3 linked regions of the Elephas maximus indicus genome follow. The protein of the gene in region 1 binds, or shares a complex with, the protein of each later gene. Links are inferred from orthologs where the notes say so. Each region holds a gene or a part of one and is shown in the gene's direction. Other genes may lie near its edges. The genes, in order: FLCN, LAMTOR4 and LAMTOR3.

What was found.
Region 2: FLCN (region 1) and LAMTOR4 share a complex: the UniProt entries of both Homo sapiens proteins name them as parts of the lysosomal folliculin complex. The link is inferred for Elephas maximus indicus from reciprocal best matches to the Homo sapiens genes FLCN and LAMTOR4.
Region 3: FLCN (region 1) and LAMTOR3 share a complex: the UniProt entries of both Homo sapiens proteins name them as parts of the lysosomal folliculin complex. The link is inferred for Elephas maximus indicus from reciprocal best matches to the Homo sapiens genes FLCN and LAMTOR3.

The regions. Positions count from the first base shown.
Region 1 is NC_064820.1:215,293,040-215,300,014, forward strand, and holds the start of FLCN (folliculin), read left to right. Parts: upstream 1-4,071; 5' UTR 4,072-4,145; intron 4,146-4,152; coding exon of another isoform or gene 4,153-4,743; intron 4,744-5,501; exon of another isoform or gene 5,502-6,975. Other genes in the region: uncharacterized protein LOC126068403, read left to right, coding at 3,542-3,680, 3,908-4,071, 4,153-4,743. UniProt on the Homo sapiens protein: Multi-functional protein, involved in both the cellular response to amino acid availability and in the regulation of glycolysis.
Region 2 is NC_064830.1:91,691,704-91,699,070, forward strand, and holds the start of LAMTOR4 (ragulator complex protein LAMTOR4), read left to right. Parts: upstream 1-4,352; 5' UTR 4,353-4,449; coding exon 4,450-4,452; intron 4,453-4,933; coding exon 4,934-5,014; intron 5,015-6,759; coding exon 6,760-6,877; intron 6,878-7,214; coding exon 7,215-7,312; 3' UTR 7,313-7,367. UniProt on the Homo sapiens protein: As part of the Ragulator complex it is involved in amino acid sensing and activation of mTORC1, a signaling complex promoting cell growth in response to growth factors, energy levels, and amino acids.
Region 3 is NC_064823.1:53,260,986-53,268,609, forward strand, and holds the start of LAMTOR3 (ragulator complex protein LAMTOR3), read left to right. Parts: upstream 1-4,557; 5' UTR 4,558-4,712; intron 4,713-5,007; 5' UTR 5,008-5,044; coding exon 5,045-5,053; intron 5,054-7,624. UniProt on the Homo sapiens protein: As part of the Ragulator complex it is involved in amino acid sensing and activation of mTORC1, a signaling complex promoting cell growth in response to growth factors, energy levels, and amino acids.

The DNA.
Region 1 (6,975 bases):
TTGGTTTCTGTATACACCTACTCCTCACTTATCAGCTATCTCATTATACAATATTTTGCATTAATGGCGATAGTAAAAAATCTACTATCTGACTATTTTGCACATTAACAATGTGTGCCTGGCAGTAACAAACATCAAGCTGTAAGGCGATAGTAATGCTGGCTGTGACGGTTAAGGTTTGGCCATGATCTCAGTGGTTTGGTAGTTATGTAATGATGTAATTTGTCAGTTATATGATGATGTAGTCATACTCCATTTTGCAATCTGATGTGGTCATCTTCTGTTTTCGCATAGTGCTGATTTTTGCATAACATCTGGTCTTTGGAACCTAACCATGTTCATAAGTGAGGAGTGGGTGTATATATGTGCATTCTTGTCTTCTTTGTTTTCTGAATATTTCTGCTGAGTTTTAATTGTCTTTCCCACTGATAACATGGGATTCATTTTCTGGCTTCTAGTATGTCCATTTTGTTGACTCCTCTTAAAGTTTATACTCTGTGAGAACCCAGTTTAATTAACCCTTGGTACAATTCACTGGGGCAAGGATTTGGCAGGTTGGTGATGCAGTGGTTGAAGCAATAGACTACTAATTGAAAGGTCGGTGCTTTGATACTTCTGTAGAAATTTATAGGCTTGGAAACCCTGTGGGGTCACTGTGAGTCGAAATTGACTTGATGACAGTGGATTTGGTTTGCAGTTTTTGGGGTAGTTTTTAACAGGTTTTTAGTTATATTTGAGAAAACCCCTCCAAAAGAGGTAGTTGGCTAAGGCCAGTGATATTGGGAAAGATAATAATGGCATAAAGTGAGTCCAGCTGTAGTAAATACACCTTGCATTTTATTGAAATAGCAGCAGTTGGATAGACCTTCTTCATCTCAGGACCTTCATTAGCTTATCATCATGGAAATAAGTTAATCTAGGCAAGGTGGTGGCTCCCATTAACAAACCGAGGAAGTTACGTTCTGAAAATTGAAGTTACAAGATGAAAAAAACAAAATAAAACAACTTTTTCTTTGCTTATGACTGACGAATGTTAGTCTCAAGAATGAGGAAAAAACAGATGTCTTCGGTACCTACGGCTGCTGTAACGCAAATTATACAAGTGGATAGCTTTAAAGAACAGGAATTTATTTTCGAACAGTTCTGGAGGCTAAAGTCCAGATCAGGGCCTCAGCTATGGCAATTCTTTCCTTGTCGGTAGTCCTGGGCATTCCTTGGTGTTCTTGGCTTATAAATGATCCTCCCAAGGTACCTGTTTCTGCCATGTGTGTTGCTGTGTCTAATCTTTTCTTTCTATAATTCAGAAGTGATTAGATTTAGAACCCGTTCTACTTGTGTTGTTGTTGTTAGGTGCCATCGAGTTGGTTCCGACTCATAGCGACCCTATGTGCAACAGAACGAAACGCTGTCGGGTCCTGAGCCATCTTTATAATCGTTGTTATGCTTGAGCTCATTGTTGCAGTCACTGTGTCAATCCACCTTGTTGAGGGTCTTCCTCTTTTCCGCTGACCTTGTACTTTGTCAAGCATGATGTCCTTCTCCAGGAACTGATCCCTCCTGACAACATGTCCAAAGTATATAAGATGCGGTCTCGCTATCCGTGCTTCTAAGGAGCATTCTGGTCGTACTTCTAAGACAGATTTGTTCGTTCTTTTGGCAGTCCATGGTATATTCAGTATTCTTCGCTGTTCTACTTGGGTATGGTCTAATGAACACAACAAAGAAAACCCTATTTTCTATTGACAGGTATACAAAAAAACCAAACCCAGTGCTGTTGAGTTGATTCCAACTCATAGCGACCCTACAGGACAGAATAGAACTGCCCCACAGAGTTTCCAAAGAGCGCCTGGTGGATTCGAATTGCCAACCTTTTGGTTAGCACCCATAGCACTTAACCACTATTAACCACTACGCCACCAGGGTTTCCTAATTAGTCATTTAAAAGCAAAATTGATTACTGCCGTGGAGTCATCTCAGATTCACAGCGATCTTATGTACAACACAATGAAACGTTGCCTGTGCCCATTCCTGTGCCATCCTTACACTTGCCAGCATGAAGGAGTCCATCATTGCAGCTATTGTGCCAATCCATCTCACCCAGGGTCTCCGCTGCTCTCAATGGCCCTGTAGTTCACCAAACATGATATCCTCCTCCAGCGATTGATCCCTCCTGATGACATGGAAAGCAAGTGAGTTGGACAATGTTCTGTTGTGACCCATAAAGTTTGCGTTAGTTAATTTTTAGAAGTAGGTCGTCAGGTCTATTCTCCTACTCTGAGTCTAGAAGCTGTCCTGAAACCATGGATGACCCTGTTGGTGTTTGAAATACTGGTGGCATAGCTTACAGCTCAGAGCAGCATACAAGCCACCTCAGCATGACAAACTGACAGACCGGTGGTGGTTAAAAGGAATGCCCAACCTCATAACGTTTTCTTCCCCCATCAATTTCTTTCTTCTATCAGGCCCCATTTTCAACGTAACCTGGAAATTTGAAGGGAGAGTGAGGCTTTACTGTGATCTTTCCCAATACTTCATTACAATCATATTCTGGACACTCGTTACCAGGAAGAAGTTTATGAGCTTTCCTGGAAATTCAAGGTGTCTTTGATCTTTTTGGGGGGCCCTGGTGGCACAGTGGTTAAGCGTTTGGCTGCTAACCAAAGGGTCAGCAGTTGTAATTTACCAGCTGCTCCTTGGAAGCCCTGTGGGGGCAGTTCTACTCTGTCCTACAGGGTCCCTATGGGTAGGAATCAACTTGACTGCAACAGGTTTGGTTTTTTTGGTTGTTCTTTTTCTGTAGTGCCTCTTAGTCTTTATCAAGAAACTCTAGTACCCATGACTTCAGAAGTATTTAACCCAGAAACAGAGCTCTGTGGACCCCATTACAATATGCACTAATGGTTCAAAATTAATTATGAGATAGCCAGACAGAACAGCCTGGATCCTGCTTCTGACCTCTGGTTCTTGGGACATGAGCCAGCATCCTGCAGTCTTACCTGCAGATTTTGAGATTCACCAGTGCCCACGCATCAGTCAGTTTGTTGTTCTGTGGGGGCTTATGCGTTGCTGTGATGCTGGAAGCTATGCCACCTATATTCAAATACCAGCAGGGTCATCCACTGTGGACAGGTTTCAGCTAACCTTCCAGGCTAAGACGGACCAGGAAGAAGGACCCAGCGGTCTGCTTCTGAAAAGAATTAGCCAGTGAAAATCTTATGAAAAGCAGCAGAGCATTGTCTGATATAGTGCCAGAAGATGAGCCCCTCAGATTGAAAGCCACTCAAAATACGACTGCTGCGACAATTGGCTCAAGCATAACAACGATTTTGAGAATGGTGAAGGACCCGGCAGTCTTTCCTTATGTTGTACATAGGGTCGCTATGAGTCGAAACAGACTGGACAGCACTTAACAACAGACTAGCAGACGCTCAGGTGTTGTGTTTTTCAATAGTGATTATTCAGTAACTGAACTTGGCATTTTGAAAACTCAGCAGCTGCTGGAGAGACCCTGTGTGCACCGTGAGCGGCGTGTGGCGCGCACATGCGCACTCCTACCCCGCCCCAAGGATTGACAACACGGGCCTCCAAATCGCAGGGCACGTCGCTCTCCGGCAGGGTGCCAGCCTGCGAGGGCCACCCTCCTAGTGCGGGGAGAAGGCGGAGTCAGCGCGGAGCTAAACGTGATGGCAGTGTTACAACGCTGAAGCTTCTTCCTGTTTCTCTTTCTCTTCGTTATGGATCAGAAGTCTTAAGCTGACTATACGTACCTCAGATCTCTTTATAACAAATTGTCCTTTCAGGTACACATGCACACCCCGCCCCCGCGAGATAGCTTCCTTTCATAGCCCGCGTCCCCCGCCGGCGTGGTCGGAACCATTCTGTACTTTTCGCGGGGGGTGGCGGACAGGGGCGGCGGCGGCGAAGAAGGGTGGCGGGCGGCTGCTTCGGACCTCCGGCCGGACTCGAGGTTGCCAGTCCTCTGAAGCTTTGTGCGGGGCCCAGCGCGGCCAGGCTTTCCTCAGGGCGGAGGGCGCTCGGCCTGCCCCTACTCCGCCCACCCCCACGGAACTGGTGAATGGCGTTGCCCGGTCAAGTCAGGCGCTTCTGTCTCCTGTGGGGCGGTGCTGAGCTGCCACGGGACCCAGGTGAGAGGCTGGGTCGGGGGCTGGGGGGGTCCGGGGACGCGGCTGGACCCGGGAGAGGGGGCTGGGCCGGGGTCGTGGACGTCGAGGGCCGCGGCGGGACCCGGGCTGGGCCGTGGGGGCTGGGGGCCGCGGCGGGACCCGGGAGAGGGGGCCGGGCTGGGCCGTGGGGGCCGGGGGCCGCGGCGGGACCCGGGAGAGGAGGCCGGGCTGGGCCGTGGGGGCCGGGGTCCGCGGCGGGACCCGGGAGAGGGGGCCGGGCTGGGCCGTGGGGGCCGGGGGCTGCGGCGGGACCCGAGAGAGGGAGCCGGGCTGGGCCGTGGGGGCCGGGGGCCGCGGCGGGACCCGGGAGAGGGGGCTGGGCTGGGCTGGGCTGGGCCGTGGGGGCTGGGGCCGCGGCGGGACCCAGGCGAGGGGCCGGGCCAAGCGTGTGGGGCCAGGTGAAGGCCGCCTGCCTGCTGGGAGGGGGAAGGACCGCGGGGCGGGTTGCCTGGGGCCAAGAGGGAAGGATGGGATGGGATCTATGTCTGGGGTCGGAGGAGGGGCACGAGGCTCTGGTTCCCTAGACAGCGCGGCGTGGGGTTTAACAGTGGGTGTGTGACAGGGCCCGAGGGAATGGGAATCGTTGCTCTCAAGTACTCAGCTCTCCCGCTGGACAGACCCTGAGCGCGGTGCTGTGCTTGCGTTACCTGAATGTAACCCCTTTCTAGCGCCTGGTGAGGGGATGTGGGATTATCCCCACATCGCCCTTGGGGAACCTGAGGCCCAGAGCCATGGCTAACTTCTCTAGTCAGTCAGAGGCAGACTTGGGATTCGAACTGTGATTGTCTGCCCCCAAAACCCCGGGCTTTTTCCTAGAGTCGGAAAGGGAGTTTGGGCTCCAGGAAGGAGGGTTATCTTTTTACTTTACTGAAGAAAAGAACCGGGTGATAGGGGTCGGAGGGGCTGCAAGGGGAGAGCGTTAGCTGAGGCAGGTTTGCAGGTGTAGAAGGGGCGCGAGCCCTGGTGGAGAGAAGGATCGGTTGTGTAAAGCCAGGAGAGGTCAGGGACCTGAGGGGGATGGAGAAACCAGACCTGTCTTCAGGGTTAGCTGAGGGCGCATAGCTGAGTGGATTTTAAGTTGATCTGGGGTTGGTTAGTGATTGGAGTCATAGTGGAAGGGATCTGCCAAGAACCTGTGATACAGAGGGAGGGTGAGATTTGGGATGGGGGAGGGGCAAATCCATGAAGTCCTGGAGTGTACAAATAAGAAATGTGACCTGACTTAAATGCTAGCAAGCAGCTATCTAAGATGCATCAGTTGGTCTCAACCCACCTGGAGCAAAGTAGAATGAAGAACACCAAAGACACAAGGTAACTATGAGCTCAAGAGACAGAAAGGGTGACATAAATCAGACACTACATCAGTCTGAAACCAGAAAAACTAAATGATGCCCGACTATAACCCATGACTGCCCTGAGAGGGAACACGACAGAGAATCCCTGATGGAGCAGGAGAGCAGTGGGATGCAGACTTCCAATTGTTGTAAAAAGACCAAACTTAATGGTCTGACTGAGACTAGAAGGACCCCGGAGGTCATGGTCCCCAGACCTTCTGTTGGCCCAAGACTGGAACCATTCCCAAAGCCAACTCTTGAGGCAGGGATTGGATTGGACTATAAGACAGAAAATGATACTGTTGAGGAGTGATCTTCTTGGCTCAAGTAGACACGTGAGACTATGTGGGCAGTTCCTGTATGGCGGGAAGATGAGAAGGCAGAGGGGGACAGAAGCTGGCTGAATGGACACAGGGAATACAGGGTAGAGAGGAGGAGTGTGCTGACTCATTAGGGAGGGAGCAACTAGGAGTACATGGCAAGGTGTATATAAATTTTTGTATGAGAGACTGACTTGATTTGTAAACTTTCACTTAGATCACAATAAAAAAAAAAAAGAAATGTGATCTGAGCTTAACACCGCCCCCCCTCCCCATCAGGATCATTGATCTATTTTCATTTAATTTTGCCTACCCCCGCCTAGATTTTGCCTTCCCTCTGGTTTAGGGGAAAGTGGGTGTCATGATTCTTTTTCTCCCAGGCCTGCATTCTGAGAGCCTTCTGACAAAGCTAATAGGCCTATATGGGTGTCCTTCAGGGCAGAGTAGATGGGCAACTTCTTCTAGTTTGGTGGGTGTTAGTGGTATCCTTTTCACCTGAAAAGAATGTGGAGCCCAGGGATTGGTTTGTTGCAGATGAAGGTCCAAACTGGTCAGTTCCAGCCACCTGAGGCAGAGGGCGAGGAGGAGCTTGCTGAAAGGAGGTACTGGTTCTCTGGCCCTTGGACACCTGGCACCACCCATTGGTATCTAGTTAGGTTGGCAGGAGGGCCTCCGTGTTGCAGCAGAGAAAGGCCATGGCCAATTTAGTGCTGGAGGCACTAGATCACCAACATTGTCATTGAGCCGTTGAGTAATAGTGGCATGTGACAGTGTTTCCTCTTCTAGTGTCTTATATCAAGGAGTTGTGTAAACAGAAGCCTAGGTGATGTCAGTAGAAGTAGTAGAGCCACAGTGTGAGTGAGTGTGAGCTGAAAGTAATCCCTGTGGACCTTTTCCACCTTGTTCTTACTAAAATCCCAAGCACTGACTTAGGGTCCTCTGTGGGAGATGAGTCTGATGCTCATGACTGGTGAAGTACCATTGTGATACCTCATTTATTTGCAAAGTACTTTCATTTACTGTCTAATCCAAATGGTCCTATGAATAGGTCCAGGGCGTAGGCTACGACATGGCTGCGGGGGCGGGTGAGGGATGAGTGCAGAGAGCACTGTCGGGTCCATGGACTTAGCCAGTGTG
Region 2 (7,367 bases), on another chromosome or scaffold:
ATCCAGTTGGGGCAACAGAGCAGGGCTGTGGGGCAGTGCAGGGCGGGGTCTAAGGGACTGTGTTAGTACTGCTCAGAATGTGGCACTCAGTGCATGGTGAAGATAGGCAGAGGGAAAGGAGAAGATGTGATGTGCAGAGCTAAATGGGTGAGTGAAAAAAGAGGGAGAAACAAAGGCAAAAAAAAAAAAGGCAAAAATTTAAGTAAAAGTAAATAAAATGGTGGTGCAGTAGGATTCAGTGGCTGGGGGTGGGGCAGACCCAGCGAGGCTATGTGCTGGTGGCGCTCTACCTGAGTAGTATGGCTCAACCTGTTGAGAAGTGGTGTGGGTGGCACATGGGGCTAGGTGGATGGGAGAAAGGAATGGAAAGAGGGGAAGGAGACAGAAGACACCAACAATCAGAGAAACAAATATAATAAATAAATAAAAAGAACAACAACAAAAAATATGATGGTGGTGGTGGTGGCAGTTGGAGATGGAGCAGAATTGGGTGGCAGCAAACTGATGTCTCTTTCACCAGGTAGCACAGCACAGCCCATCAGGAAGGGGTGCAGGGCCAAGGTGAGAGGGAATGGATGCAGAATTTGGAACAAACTCTTTCATATTCATATTGCTATTAGTAATTTCAGCACTGCCGGTACTACTACAATGATTTGCACCCATTAAGCTTGAGTATTCAACAGAAGAAGTCTCTACTAATTCATTACATTTTTAAAAGGAAGTTAATTTTGGACTTGTTTTTAGGGATTCACAAATCCTTTTCTTTCTATCATCTGTGAGCTTTCATTTTTGCACTCCACTTAGTTGTTGCCATTTCATTTTACCTGGATATAAAATTATGTCACTTTTGAAATTTGGTTCTAACACAGCAAATAAATATGAATAACTGACAATAAATAAAACTTATAAAACAAGTGAAATTTATATTTATTTATAAAATAAATTTTACATACGAATTTGGACATTAACACAAAAATTTATATTTGAAAATAGGTAAAACAATTGATTTGGAACATGTAATTTTGTTCTTCAGGTCTGAGTCAAAAGAAATAGTACTTACAAGGCAATAGGAAGTAATTTCATTCGTTTGTCATACAATGTTTGTTGGCAGGCCCTCTCCAGATCTCCACAAGTGTTTTTCCCCTTGAAATAACACTTAAAAACGTGCATGCTTACTTTTTCTACTTTGATGCTGCGTCTTCATGTTCATTGGACTACTACTGATACCCAACCAGGGCGAGAGCAATCGCAAAGAGCATGATACAACTACAAGGGTATGCTCAATCTGAAGAAGTGTTTTGGTTAACTTTGTGGGACTGGATACGTCATGAGTCACGTGATTATTGTGCGACTGACACGTTCTTATGTGGTCCACGAGAATTGAATATGGGGTTATACCCAATTGATGCGAAATGAAAAGAAAATATGATTGTTATTGTACACAAAATTTATAAAATGGTATCAATTTCATTTAGTGCACTGCCAGTTCCCTTCCACTGCAGCACTTGCTTTTCCTTGTGCCCTGTCTGCTTAGCATTACAGATCTTTGCTTTGGACAACTGGTACCCCTGTTTTGTTGATGCCCTAAGCACGTGCTTACCTTGCTTATTAGGTAATCCAACCCTGGTGCCACCCAGTGATTTTTAAGGCCAGGAAGGTCTTGTAAATTAAGTGTCTCCACGGAATTTTCTCTCTCTACATCCCCTTCCAGTTTAAATTTTATAATTTAAATTTAGATCTTCTCTCATTTTTGTAAAGGCATCCACCTTCTCTAATTAGCTGTTTCTCCTCAAGCAACAGTACTTATTTTTTTTATTGAGATATAATTTGCCATTTCAAAGTGTACAATTCAGTGGATTTTAGTATGTTCACTAGGCTATGCAACCATTACCAGTCTATAATCCCAGAACATTTTTATCACCTCCCAAAAAAGCCCTGTACCCATTAACAGTCACTCCCCATTCTCTGTCCCATCAATCCCTACCCATTGTTATCTAGTCAATTTTGACTCATAGCCACACTACAGGACAGAATAGAACTACCCCATAAGATTTCCAAGGCTATAAATCTTTGTGGAAGCAGACAGCCACTTCTTTTTCCCAAAGAGCAGTCACCAGCCCCTGGAAACCACTAATCTGCTTTCTGTCTCTATGTATTTGCTTATTCTGGGTATTTCGTATAAATGGAATCACATGGCTTCCTTTGTCTGGTTTCTTTCATTTAGCATGTTTTCAAGGTTCGACCACATTGTAGCATATATCAGTACTTCACTTCTTTTGTTGTTGTTATTGTTAGGTGCTGTCCAGTCAATTCCAACTCATAGCCACCCCATGTGACGAGTAGAACTGCCCCATAGGGTGTTCTTGGCTGTCATCTTTACTGAAGCAGATTGCCAGGTCTTTCTCCTTCAGAGCTGCTGAGTGGGTTTGAACTTCCAACCTTTATGGTTAGCAGTCGAGTGCTTAACCATTTGTACCGCCAGGGCTCCTTCCATTCTTTTCTCTCTCTCTTTTTTTTTAATTATCGTATTTAAATGAAGGTTTACAGAACAAACTTGCTTCTCATTAAGCAACTAGTACATATATTGTTTTGTGATGTTGGTTACCAACCCCACGACATGTCAACACTCTCCCTTCTTGACCTTGGGTTCCTTATTACCAGCTTTCGTGTCTCCTGCCTTCTAGTCCTTGCCTCTGGGTTGATGTGACCCTTTAGTCTTGTTTTGTTTTATGGGCCTGTCTAATCTTTGGCTGAAGGGTGAACCTCAGGATCCTTTCATTCTTTTTTATGGCTAAACAATATTCAATTGTATGCATATACCACATTTTATTTATTCTTTCATAAGTAAATGGCTATTTGGATTGCTTCTACTTTTTGGCTAGTATGAATAATGCTGCTATGAACACTCATGTGTAAGTTTTTGCGTGAACATGTTTTCAAATTCTCCTGAGATATACCTAAGAACAGAATTGCTGGGTCCTATGAGGAGCCCTAAGGAGTCCTCGTGGTGTAGTGGTTAAAGTGCTTTGCTGCTAACCAAAAGGTCAGTGATTCAAACCCACCAGCAGCTCTGAGGGAGAAAGATGTGGCAGTCTGCTTTCCTAAAGATTTACAGCCTTGGGAACCCTATGGGGCAGCTCTACTCTGTCCTATAGGTTCGCGTTGAGTCATAAACAACTGGAAGGCAGTAAGTTTGGTGTGGTTTGATGAGGAGCCCTCGTGGCACAATGGTTAAACATTTGGCTGATAAAACCAAAGGGTAAGTGGCTTGAGCCCGCCAACAAGTTCACGGGAGAAAATAACTGTCGATCTGCTCCCATAAAGATTATAGGCTAGGAAATCCTATGGGGGCAGTTCGACTCTGTCATATAGGGTCACTGTGAGTAGAATTCGACTCAGTGGGATGTAACAATATTATAATTATATTTTTAACATTTTGAGGAGTTGACAGACTGTTTTCCACAGTGGCTGCACCATTTTACATTCCCACCAGCAGTGTATGAAGGTTCCGATTTCTTTACAAGTACTTATTATCTCTGGAATTATCTTTATTTTACCTCACCAACACTGCCTTAGTCCCTTTAGTATTGCAGCAGCTCTGGAAAGTGTCTATTCCTATGTTTACACATATCTTGTGATAAAACCAAAACACCCGTTGCTGTTTAGTCCATTCCAACACATAGCGACCCTATAGCATAGAGTAGAACTGCCTCATAGGGTCTCCAAGGCTGTAAATCTTTGGAAGCAGACTGCCACATCTTTCTGCTGCAGAATGGCAGGTGGGTTTGAACAGCAAACTTTTGATTAGCAGCCAAGTATTTAACCAGTGCACCACCAGGGCTCCTAGCATTTTGTGATATATGAAGATACCTCGCTCCAAGGTCCTGTTACTAATTTTTCTGGGCAGAGAATATGCAGTATTTTCTGTTGGCTGTATGGGGCGGGGGGGCACCACTTTGAGCATCCCAGTTGCCTAGAGTAGGCATAAGAATACCATTTTGAATAGGTTTCAGAAGCATGATTTTATTTTATTATCTCCTTTTAGGGTGAAGAAATCTGAAACCCAATAAATGTTTTCGCTTCGGGTCGCACTCTAGGAAGCCAAACCCAGATTTTACCCCGTGAGCCCTCCTTCGCGCAATCTCAGCCCTACCCGCTCCAGGGCCTTCCCCGCTCCTCTAACCCCTACACACACTTCCCCCTCCTCCTGGCGTTCAAGCTCTGAGGGGCGGGATACGGGTGTTAAAGAGGGTACGTGACCAATCCGCGCGCGTCTTCGCAAAACGGCGCTTCTCACTGGTAGATTCGGTCTGATGATGTAGCCCATGCTCCAGTCATGCTGGGGGCGGGGCCGAAGTGCGGCGGCGCCGCGCAGGAAGCACGTGATCTGGGACTCGGTTAGGAAGCTGCCCCTCTGGTAGGGAGTGCCCCCAGCACCTAAAGCTTGCGATGGTGAGTGAGGACGCATGCGCGGGAGTACGCGCTGGGGGTTCCGCGTTCCAGTCCCCCAACCTTCTTGGTTGCCCCTTCCTGGGCCTGCACCCCACCTTCACCGCAAGCCACCCCGGGACTGGAAGAGTGGAGACGGGAGGGACTAAGGACAGAGAGTGCTGGAGGGGCGGGGCACGAGGGGAGTTGGAGGGTCTGATGTGAGGGACCAGTGGGGCTGTGAAGACATACTGGGGTATCACATCAAAGGTAGGATGTGAGAGGCCGAGGGAGCCCACGGGCAGAGGGAGATAGAGAGGACAGACGGAGGCACAGAAGGCAAGGGAAAGCTCAGTGTTTGAGGCCAGGTAGAGGGAAGGGTCCTGGCTGGGGAAGAGAAGGCCTGGGGGACTGTCATCAAGAGAGGGCCTTGGGTTTGCAGGTCACGGGTGTCGAGGGCCACCTTCCTGGCGTGCTTCTCACTGATTGCTCCTTTAACCACTAGACTTCTGCACTGACCCAGGGGCTGGAGCGAATCCCAGACCAGCTTGGCTACTTGGTGCTGAGTGAAGGCGCAGTGTTGGCGGTGCGTTCTGGGGAAGGGAGGGGATCCCCTAAGAACACATCGTCCATCATCTCTTACAGTATTGCCCATTTTACCCGAATTTGTCTCTATTCTTTGTTATCACCTAGTAGCACGCCTAGTGTATAGTAAGTTTCAGTAATCCGTCTCCAACTTTCCTGAGATAAAAGAGGCTTACTAACTCTATTAAGGGTCACAAGTTTGTTGGTAACTGATATTACCTGAGTTATTCTCAAGTATGTATTTGGTATTTATTGACTAGGCTTTGTATTTTGTTCCATAGTACAATATAGTGTTAGCTTTCTAGAAGTTTTCAATTTAGCTAAAGAAACAATGCTTAAAAGGTTAAAAGTTGAAAGCAGGGTGAGTGGTAAAGACTACTGATGAAATCAACCCTTCATGTTATATTATGTAATAACTTGTGTTATGGTAAGGAAACTGTCTTGGAGGTAGAAATCCAGGATGGGTAGTTGTGAAGAGGAAGAGAGTTCTTTGGGGCTGGGAAGTGGACATATTTGCAGGTGTGTGACACCAACCTGTCTGATTTGGTGGGTGTCACATGGAGAAGATTTGGAAAGGTTTGGGGGAAGAAAAGGATATTGTAAAGAAAGGACCAGATTGTGGAGGACTTTCAAAGCCAGATTTGTACATTTGGACTTAATCTTGAAGGTAGTAAGGAGCTATTGAAGGCTTTTGAACGGGAACACTACCTGATGAAATGCTTTAGCGAGATTTTTCTGTTAGCAGTGTGAAGATGGAGTAGGGGGTGATGAATTTTCAAGACTGGGCAGTAAACTAGGTATGAGACTGGGCTGGTGGCAATGAGGAGCGAGAAAATAAATTTAGAGGAGGAATGACTAGATATAGGTAATGGAGGAGATACTTCTCCATCTAGTAAGGCTTTGAACTCATAAACCTGGAAGAATGATGGTGCCTCAACAAACAGGAAATGAAGAAAGGAAGTTGATTGGGGAGGGTGGGAAGTACAGGGAATTCCATGTTTTGACTTTAAACATTGAGTTTGGTGTGGAATAACAGCAGTTAATGTAAATGGTAGGAGCTGTTCTAAGCATCTTGCCAATATTATTTAATCTTCATAATAAGTTTATAAGGTACTGTATTGTTCCCAGTTTGCAGATGAGAGAACTGGAGTATAGAATGTCCAAGGGAGCGAAGTGCAGTAAACTTAACTTAGTGGGAGGCCCATATCAAGGAGGTGGGAGAGGAAGTTGAGATAGTCACCAGAAAAAGAGGAAGCCCAGGCCACTGTCACAGCACTGACCCAAGGTCTGGGTAGTAGGGAGAGATGTCAGGACAAAGGGGATGGTTGTGCTCCAGATTCTGCAAACAGGGCAGTAAATGGGAAGACAGAAAAGACGGATCTTCTAACAATTCAGTGGTCATTTTCAGGGCTGAGTATTGGTTTTCGAGAATGTAGTTTTATCAAATACTTGGGGACAGGGAACAAAGTCAATTTCCAAGGGGCTAGGAAAGAATGGTCAGTAAAGAAATGGATGAAGAATCATCAGGGGAAGCCCAGTATTATAAGAATGAGAAATAGGATGACACAAAGAGGAAGCTATAACACCAAGGAAGGTTTTAGTTGTTTTTCCAGAACTGGGGTAACCTAGGAATCTTGCAAAGTGAAGAGGGAGAGGTTCCACACACTAGAGACAAAGTGACTGCCTGGAATTCCTTCCCAATTCTCTTCCCTCATTTCTGCCCTCCTCCCTCCCACCTGCGTGCAGTCGTCTGGGGATCTAGAGAATGACGAGCAGGCAGCCAGCGCCATTTCTGAGCTGGTCAGCACCGCTTGTGGTTTCCGGCTGCACCCGGGCATGAACATACCCTTCAAACGCCTGTCAGGTGAGCCCCCATCTCTGCCCTGGTGGTGTGGGGGGAAGGGGGCTTCTCCCAAAGGCTGCTGCTTCTCAGGGAAAAAAGACTATCTCCTACCAACTCTTCTGTCATCGCCTCCTGGGGTCGCTGGTTCTGGCCACTTTCTTCCCTTTGAGGTCCCCTCCCCTGGACCAGAGTTGATATGAGCAAGAAGGGGACTTATTGGAGGCCTCTCATCTTTTGAGCCTTGAACTATAGAATTTCTTTGGCTTTTGGTATCAGCCAACTTCTGTGATCCCATGGAGGCCATCGCACCACACTAACCCTGTGCTCCCTTCCCTCTCCTGGGGCGTCTCTCCTCCAGTGGTCTTTGGAGAACACACGCTGCTGGTGACCGTGTCAGGACAGAGGGTGTTTGTGGTGAAGAGGCAGAACCGAGGCCGGGAGCCCATTGACATCTGACCCTGCGAGAGGGGAGGGTCGGAGAATGTGGATTGGGTCCATGAGCCGCTTGCGA
Region 3 (7,624 bases), on another chromosome or scaffold:
ATAAATTACTTAGTTTGATCCCATGTACAAAGATAACATAACAGCATCTTTTGAAACACATTTCAAAGAACATATTTTGTATTGCAAATTAGGTATCTGTCAGTTTAGAATTACAATTTGTTTCTTAGTCTTCATACTTCAGTGGCAATATTTTCTCTTTGTACAATTATGGTAGTATTACAGATATGCCCCCATTTCAAATGGATGTGTTAAAACACAATCTTAAACTGGCTTCTTTATTCCAAACAATATTTCATACTGAAAATGAAGAAGGACCCAACAAATGTAGAATTTATTATGATATAGTTGACTTATGAGTTAAATCTCAGTATTTTATTAATTACTTTTAAAGTTGCTATTGCAAAAATACTAAGGATTTTTAAAATTTGGAGCCCTGGTGGCGCAGTGGTTAAGGGCTACGGCTACTAACCAAAAGGTCGGCAATTCGTATCCACCAGTTGCTCCTTGGAAACCTTATGGGGCATTTCTACTGTGTCCTATAGGGTTGCTATGAGTCGGAATCAACTTGATAGCAATGGGTTTGGTTTCAGTTTTAGGTAGAAGTATTACTGTTTTACATAATTTAACGAGCCTCTTGTTACTCAAATAAAACATTAACTTTTTCTGTCCTGAGCGATGATTGCATATCTAGAAAATTTATGGGATAAAATTTGGAAGAGGAAACTAGAACCTGGCTTCATTATGCCTAGAAACCAACCACTCTGATCTTTTCCTTAGATCTTGTATACTCTCCCACTGTCTTTGACCCCAATCTCCCACCCTGTGTTCAGCACCACTTCTACTGTAATCCCATATAATATAGGCTATGGAAAGTTAATAAACTCTGTCATATTTTCAGTCAAATCGAAGGGAAAATATCACTGTATTTCATCGGATCTAATAAGCAATCAATTTAAGATACATCTCAGTTTCAGAGATGTTAAAATGTTAGGGGGAAATCCATCTCAGAATCGATGAAATACAGTATCATGCATTTCATTCTAACTTTATTGGTGATATCAGAGCCTTTGTTTCTGATTCTCTTAAAGTTCTCTTACCTGTTATATACAACAGAGATCTCAACTTTTTTTATTCTGGTTTTTTAACAATATATGCAGTGTCTTTACTAACTATATATACAGGTACTGGTATGCTGTGAAGGAGCCCTGGTGGCACGATGGCTGCTAACCAAAAGGATGAAGTAATCAATTTGGCTAGAGTAGAAGATTCACACTAGAATGTATTTGGAAGTCACTGCTCTCACAGGGATCACAATAGAGGGTCACAGACAGAGCTGGAGAAAAATGTTGACCAAAATTCTAACTCAAAAAGAAAGGCCAGATTTGCTGGCCTGACAGAGACTAGAGAAACCCTGAGAGTATGGCCCCCAGACACCCTTACAGCTCAGTAATGAAGTCATTCCTGAGGTTCACCCTTCACCCAAAGATTGAACAGGCCCATGGAACAAAACAAGACTAAAGGTGTGCACCAGCCCTGGGGTAGGGACTGGAAGGTAGGAGGGAACAGGAAAGCTGGTAACAGGGAACCCAGGGTTGAGAAAGGAGAGTGTCGACATGTCATGGGGTTGTTAACCAATGTCATAGAACAATGTGTGTACTGTTTGATGAGAAACTAGTTTGTTCTGTAAACCCTCATCTAAAGTTCAATTAAAAAAAAAAGTACTCAGAAGTAAAATAGAGTATTAGTGCCAGATTAAAGACTGTCAACTTTGTCTGTGATGGTACATCACTAAAGATCTTCTTAGCAGGCAGTAATGAGTGTTTTAAGAAGGTTCATCTGCCAGTTATTAAATGGCTATTGATATAGTCTTGCTGAGTAGAAATACGGTCTGAATCAAGAATTGAAAAAATACAGATGCAAAAATCATTGTTAGGGAAGAAAAGACATATCATGAGGAAAGAAAGAGAGCAGCCAAACATGATTCCTGACTAGTAGAATCATGGTACTGGTACAGACATAGGAGAAACAGGTTTATTAGACCCAAGTTTTTTAGAGCTTTTGAGTTAGAGCTGACAGTAAGGTATGTAGGTAGAAATATCCAACATCCAGCAAGCAGCTAAGAATGTGAATCTAGAACTCAGAGGAAAGACTCACATTCTCAGAACACGGGAAAGAGAACATTGCAGAGGAACCCAAGATAAGCTTGGGAAATGCCATCATCTGAACAGTTAGAGACTTGAGTGGGTGGGGACCTGAAACAAATAAAGCGGTGTCCCAGAAACTAAGAAATCAAAGATTTTAAATAAGGAAAAGGAAGTAATCTTTAATGGTGTCAACTGCTATGGAACTGTCAAGTTCACTTGTAAAAATTTGTAGGTGCTCAAACAGATTTTTTGGATGGTAAGTCTGGTGTGAGGAGGGAAAGAAGAGCCAGGGAAACCCTGAAAAGTAACTAGGTTTATTGTGCTCACAGTTCCCAGAGGCAGGGAGGCACAACACACCATGATGCAGGGCCACACAGGGGTTGCACCCAGAGAAAAAACCCAAACCAAACCCACTGCCGTCGAGTCGATTCCGACTCAGCGAAGGTAACAACAAATTATAGGAAAAGGCTTATGTGTGGCAAGCAGGGCAGGGTTAGCTAGGTTTTTCTGGTTTCCTGGGGAATAGGCATTCTTGAATAACTCTGCAAGCTCAGGGGGTATAGAGGGCTGTCCTGAGTTGTTAGGTACCTGGCCCTGGGACAATTAGGGTGGGTGCATAGTGGCCCAGGAATGTGAGAACCTGATGAGGGGAGTGGTTGGAGAGTGGAATTAATCAGCTGCTGAAGAAGGTGAACGGACTAGCCTCCAGCCAGGGCCTCAAAGCAGTCAAGACAGCATTTTTTTTTTTTTTTAATTGTGCTTTAAGTGAAAGTTTACAAATCAAGTCAGTCTTTCATACAAAAACCCACCTTGCTATGTACTCCTAGCTGCTCTCCCCTTAATGAGACAGCACACTCCTCCTCTCCACCCTGTATTTCCTGTGTCCTTTCACCTAGTTCCTGTTCCCCTCTACCTTCTCATCTCGCCTCCAGAGAGGAGCTGCCCACATAGTCTCCTGTGTCTATTTGAGCCAAGAAGCTCACTCCTCACCAGAAAATGATACTGTCTTACAGTCCAGTTCAGGCCCTGTCTGAAGAGTTGGCTTCAGGGATGGTTCCAGTCTTGGGCTAATAGAGGGTCCAGGGACCATGACTTTCAGGGTCCCTCCAGTCTCAGACCATTACGTCTGGTCTTTTTTATGACAATTTGAGTACTGCATCCCACTGTTCTCCTGCTCCATTAGGGATTCTGTTATGTTCCCTGTCAAGACAGCATTTTAAGAAAATTATATTACAGTAGATCATTTGTGACATTTGGGAACTCTATGGTTTACAATTGCCTCTTGTCAGGTATAGTTGTAGGAAATATGTATCCAAGACTTTTCACCATGTCTTAGGCTAGACTTAATCCCTTTTGCATTCCTGCTTTTAGGGGCGGGAAATGAAGATCAGTCTTAAACAAGTTTCCATAAATCTCGGAATTTTCCAAGACATACTACCCAGCTTTGAATAAATGAAACCAGAGGTAATCTGCAACTAAAGCCATGAACTTCAGTTTTCCTAGGAGGGGCTAAGGCAGTGGTTCTCAACTGGGGTGTGATTTTGCCCCCCAGGGGATTTTTGGTTGTTACAAAAGTGGGGGGGGGTGATGGGGGGAAGGGAGGAGGGAAGACTGCTAGCATCTAGTGAGCATAGGCAAGGGATGTTGCTAAACAGCCTAAAATGCACATGACAACCCCCTTCAACAAAGATGTATCTAGCCCAAAGTATCAGGAGTGCAGAGATTGAGAAACCCTGGGCTGAGGTGATCGGAGAGGGTTTCCCCCTTACCATACTTCGTAATCTTCCTACTACCTACTGTAGGTTTTTGTTAAACGTGAAAACAAGCAAGGCACCAAGCAAAAAATATTTTAGGCAATGCTTAGAAGGCAATCCCACATGTCAAGAACCAATGAGAAAACGTAGTTCAGTGCGTACCTTAAAAGAAGCAGAAGCTTGGGGTGCTGCTTGACTCCCCGAGCGCTCCAGAAAGCCCATGGCTCCTCGATTCAATCTAGACAAAACCTTGAGCAAAGAGCATGTAGGGTGACATCCATGGGAAAGCCAAAAAGAGACTAGGAAATCGGGACCAGAAACCTGTAGATCTGGAATTTCTAATCCCTGGGCAATCAATCTCATACAGCTCGTTAACGCCCTCCCTTCCACTCATTTACAAGAATAACTTTTAAGGTACTGGCCCTAAAAAACTAATAAAATTTATGCACGTTCTCCGCACAAAAATGTCTTCTTGCACAAGAACATGCATACATTTTCTGGGGGCTTTCGGGCCCAGCAATCTCTTTAAGAATCGCCTAAGAGTTCAAATCCGTCCGGCCCAAGGCAAGCGGGAGGGGCGGGGTAGCGCGGGCGGGGCGAGGCAGAAAGGGCCGGGGCGGGGCATCGCGGGCGGGGCGGGGCAGGGCGGAGCACCGCGAGCCAAAAAGCGCTCAGTTTCCGCCTACAGTCCCCGGAAATCCTGTGTCACCGGGCGTCGGAGGCGTAGGAAGTGCTTCCTGGGGGCCGACGAGGTCACAAATCATGTGAGGGCCGCTTGGGGAGGAACCTGTCTCCTAGTGTCCCTGAAGTGCCCGCAGAGAGAACCCGGGCATTCCCGGGAGCGGAAACCCAGGTAACTGGCGCCACTTTGCCCGGCATAGGGACTTGTGCCCGGGGATAGCGAGGGAGGGCTGTTGGTGGGGGAAACGAAGGGGGAGAGGGCACCACTTTTCCTAGCCTTTGGGCCCAGATCTCGGGGTGGTGGTGGTGGAGTGGGCTGAGGTAAGACATCCCGGATTCCCGTCGAGGTCTTGGGGAACACCTACTCCTTCGGCCTCTTTGGTACGGTCCTAGAGCCGCGGAGTCGGCTGGGGGTGGAGAAGGCGAGGAAGCTTCGAAGGAATAGTCACCAGAGGTTTCTCTTCCAGGCGTGGAGATTGATCCTGCGAGAGAAGGGGGTTCATCATGGCGGATGTGAGTTGACATTCTTACACAGGAAAAAAGGAGAGGGTGGGAGTTTGGAAAGGATACTGGGCGGGGAGAGGTAGAACTCCCCATGTACAGACCTTTCTTTTAGGCGTTCCTCCCGATTTTTTTCCCCTAGGGTCTGGAGTGGGAGACTGATAAGAATGGATTTGTGGGGTTCTGAGTTTCTGTCCAGTATGGGGTTTGAGGAGAGACTCTTAAGATATGCTTGAGGGTGAGAAGATTGTATTCTCACACCCCAATCCTGTGAACATCAAAGAAGCCCTGTGTGTTTACCATTTGAGCTTCTAAATGATGGTCTGCAGTCTTCCCAATCACTGTGTGGTTAGTAGGACATGTGCACTGAATGCTTTACTTTCCAGTAACCAGTCATGATGTCTCACTTGGGATTATTGTGACAACTTGAAATTCCTCTTTAGCACAGCAGTAAGACCCAAATTCCAAGCTTAGGGGACTTAATTGTACTAGTTACTGAAAAGTGCAGAGAATTACTGATACTAATGTTTATATTTTACATCCTGTTATCTTGCCGAATATTCTTCCAAACATTGAGTATATACTAATTTATTCTTATAACAACATTTAGAAGTAGGTACGATTATTATTCGTCTTATAGATGGTGATGCAAAGCCACAAAAAAATAAAGTAACTCACCCGGGGTTACACAGCTAGTAAGTGGTGAAGTCAAGAGAACAACGCTGACAGTCTGGCTCCAAAGGCTATATTCTTATCCACCACACTGAATGGTCATTCAACATGAATACAAATCCAGTTTTTCCTTTTAGGTTGCAAGATTATATGGTTCAAAGATTTAGGAACTTTTTATGCCTTTACCCACCGCTTATTTTTTTAGTACCATCGGTTATATTTTTGAGACCTTAATTCTTCACCTGTAGTCAAATCACTAAATATTGAGCATCTGCCTTGGAAAAGTTGCTATGATAAGGGCTATGGGTAAAATAAAGATGATTAAGGGATAATTCTTTAAGGGTTTTTAAGATTAATAGAGGAATAGGTAAGTGATCATAGATATGCATACATAATAGTGTGAAAATTGAGGAAAGGATTACATCTGGTTTTTGTCTATCAGAAAAGACTATTTGGAATATTTGATGGTTGAGATTTAGCTCTGAAAGCTGAGTAGCATCTTTTTTTTTTTTAAAAGTAAAATCGAGAGCAAAGTATTTCTAGTAGCGTGAATAGCATAAACAAAGTCCAAGAGTTAAGAAGGGAGAGGTGTGTGTGGAGAAACTGAGTCGACCAGCTTAGTTGGAGCTGTGGATATGTATGAGGATACAGAACTGTAAAATTAGACCTAGACTATGTTGTAGAGAACCTCAAATGTCTAAAGAGTTTGTACGTAATCCAGTGAAAGCTGGAGGGCCATTCAAACCTTGGCTACCCAGGGAATACCTCCAGCCCAGGCATCAATATTATTAAAGCTTCCCAAGTAATTTCTATAGCAAGGTTGAGAACCACTGCAATAAGGCTTTAGAGAAGGAGAATAATATGATTGGCGCAGTGTGGAATAGGATAGAAATGGGAGACGAGAATACCAGTTGGGAGATTAGTGCAAGTCATAAATAGTAAAAGAAATAAAAATAACAGTGTCTGTGGAAAAACAGGAAAAGATCAATTTAAAAACATTTTATTTGACAAGTGATTTAAAAGTGGCAAACGTGAATTAAAGTTAAATGTTAACTCTTGGTTTCAAACCTAAAACCAGGGGATTGGTAGTGCCATTAGTGGAGAGAAGAAGAAATTGAGGAAATCTGGATTCAGGGGCAACAGGATGAGTTCATTTCTCTGTGTGTGTGTGTATTAAGATGAAAGCAAGGTAAGCTGGTAGCGATGCATTCAGGTTTAGACAATTGTAGGTATTAGAGGTTCTGAAGAATAGATGGTATCTGATTCATCTACATAGAGGTCTTAATTGAAGCCTAGATGGTCATTTTCCCCAGATGAGAGATACGAGGAGGCAAAATAAAGTAGTCTTCCATTTCTTTAGTTCTGATTATGATTTAGGCGTCTCTGGGTGGTGCAAATGGTTAATGCACTCACTGTTCACTGAAGGGTCGGTGGTTCATTTCCACCCAGAGGCACCTCGGAAGAAAGGTCTAGCGATCTACTTCTGAAAAATCAGCCATTGAAAACCTTATGGAGCACAGTTCTGCTGTAATACAATGGGGTTGCCATGAGTCGCAGTCAACCCTAGGGCAACTGGTTTTGTTATTTTGGTTTAATTAACGTTTCATGCTTAAACACACTTTGTGTTGTCATTGTAATCATCTGAGAATCATTAAAAGTGATATTAGAAAATCTTATTTATAAATATAGCAAGATAGTCATATATTCTCAAGCAAACACAGCAGTAGCAACAGGATATACAATAGTATGGAAAGTATAATCTGATTTTACGTGTAATGTAATTTTTGTTTTCTGTTACCAGGTATGCTAATCACTTTATATGCATCTTCTCAATAAACTGTAACAGCAATCTTATTAAATAGGCTCTATGAGTATTCTTACTTTATAAGTAATAAAATTTAGGCTTAGAGA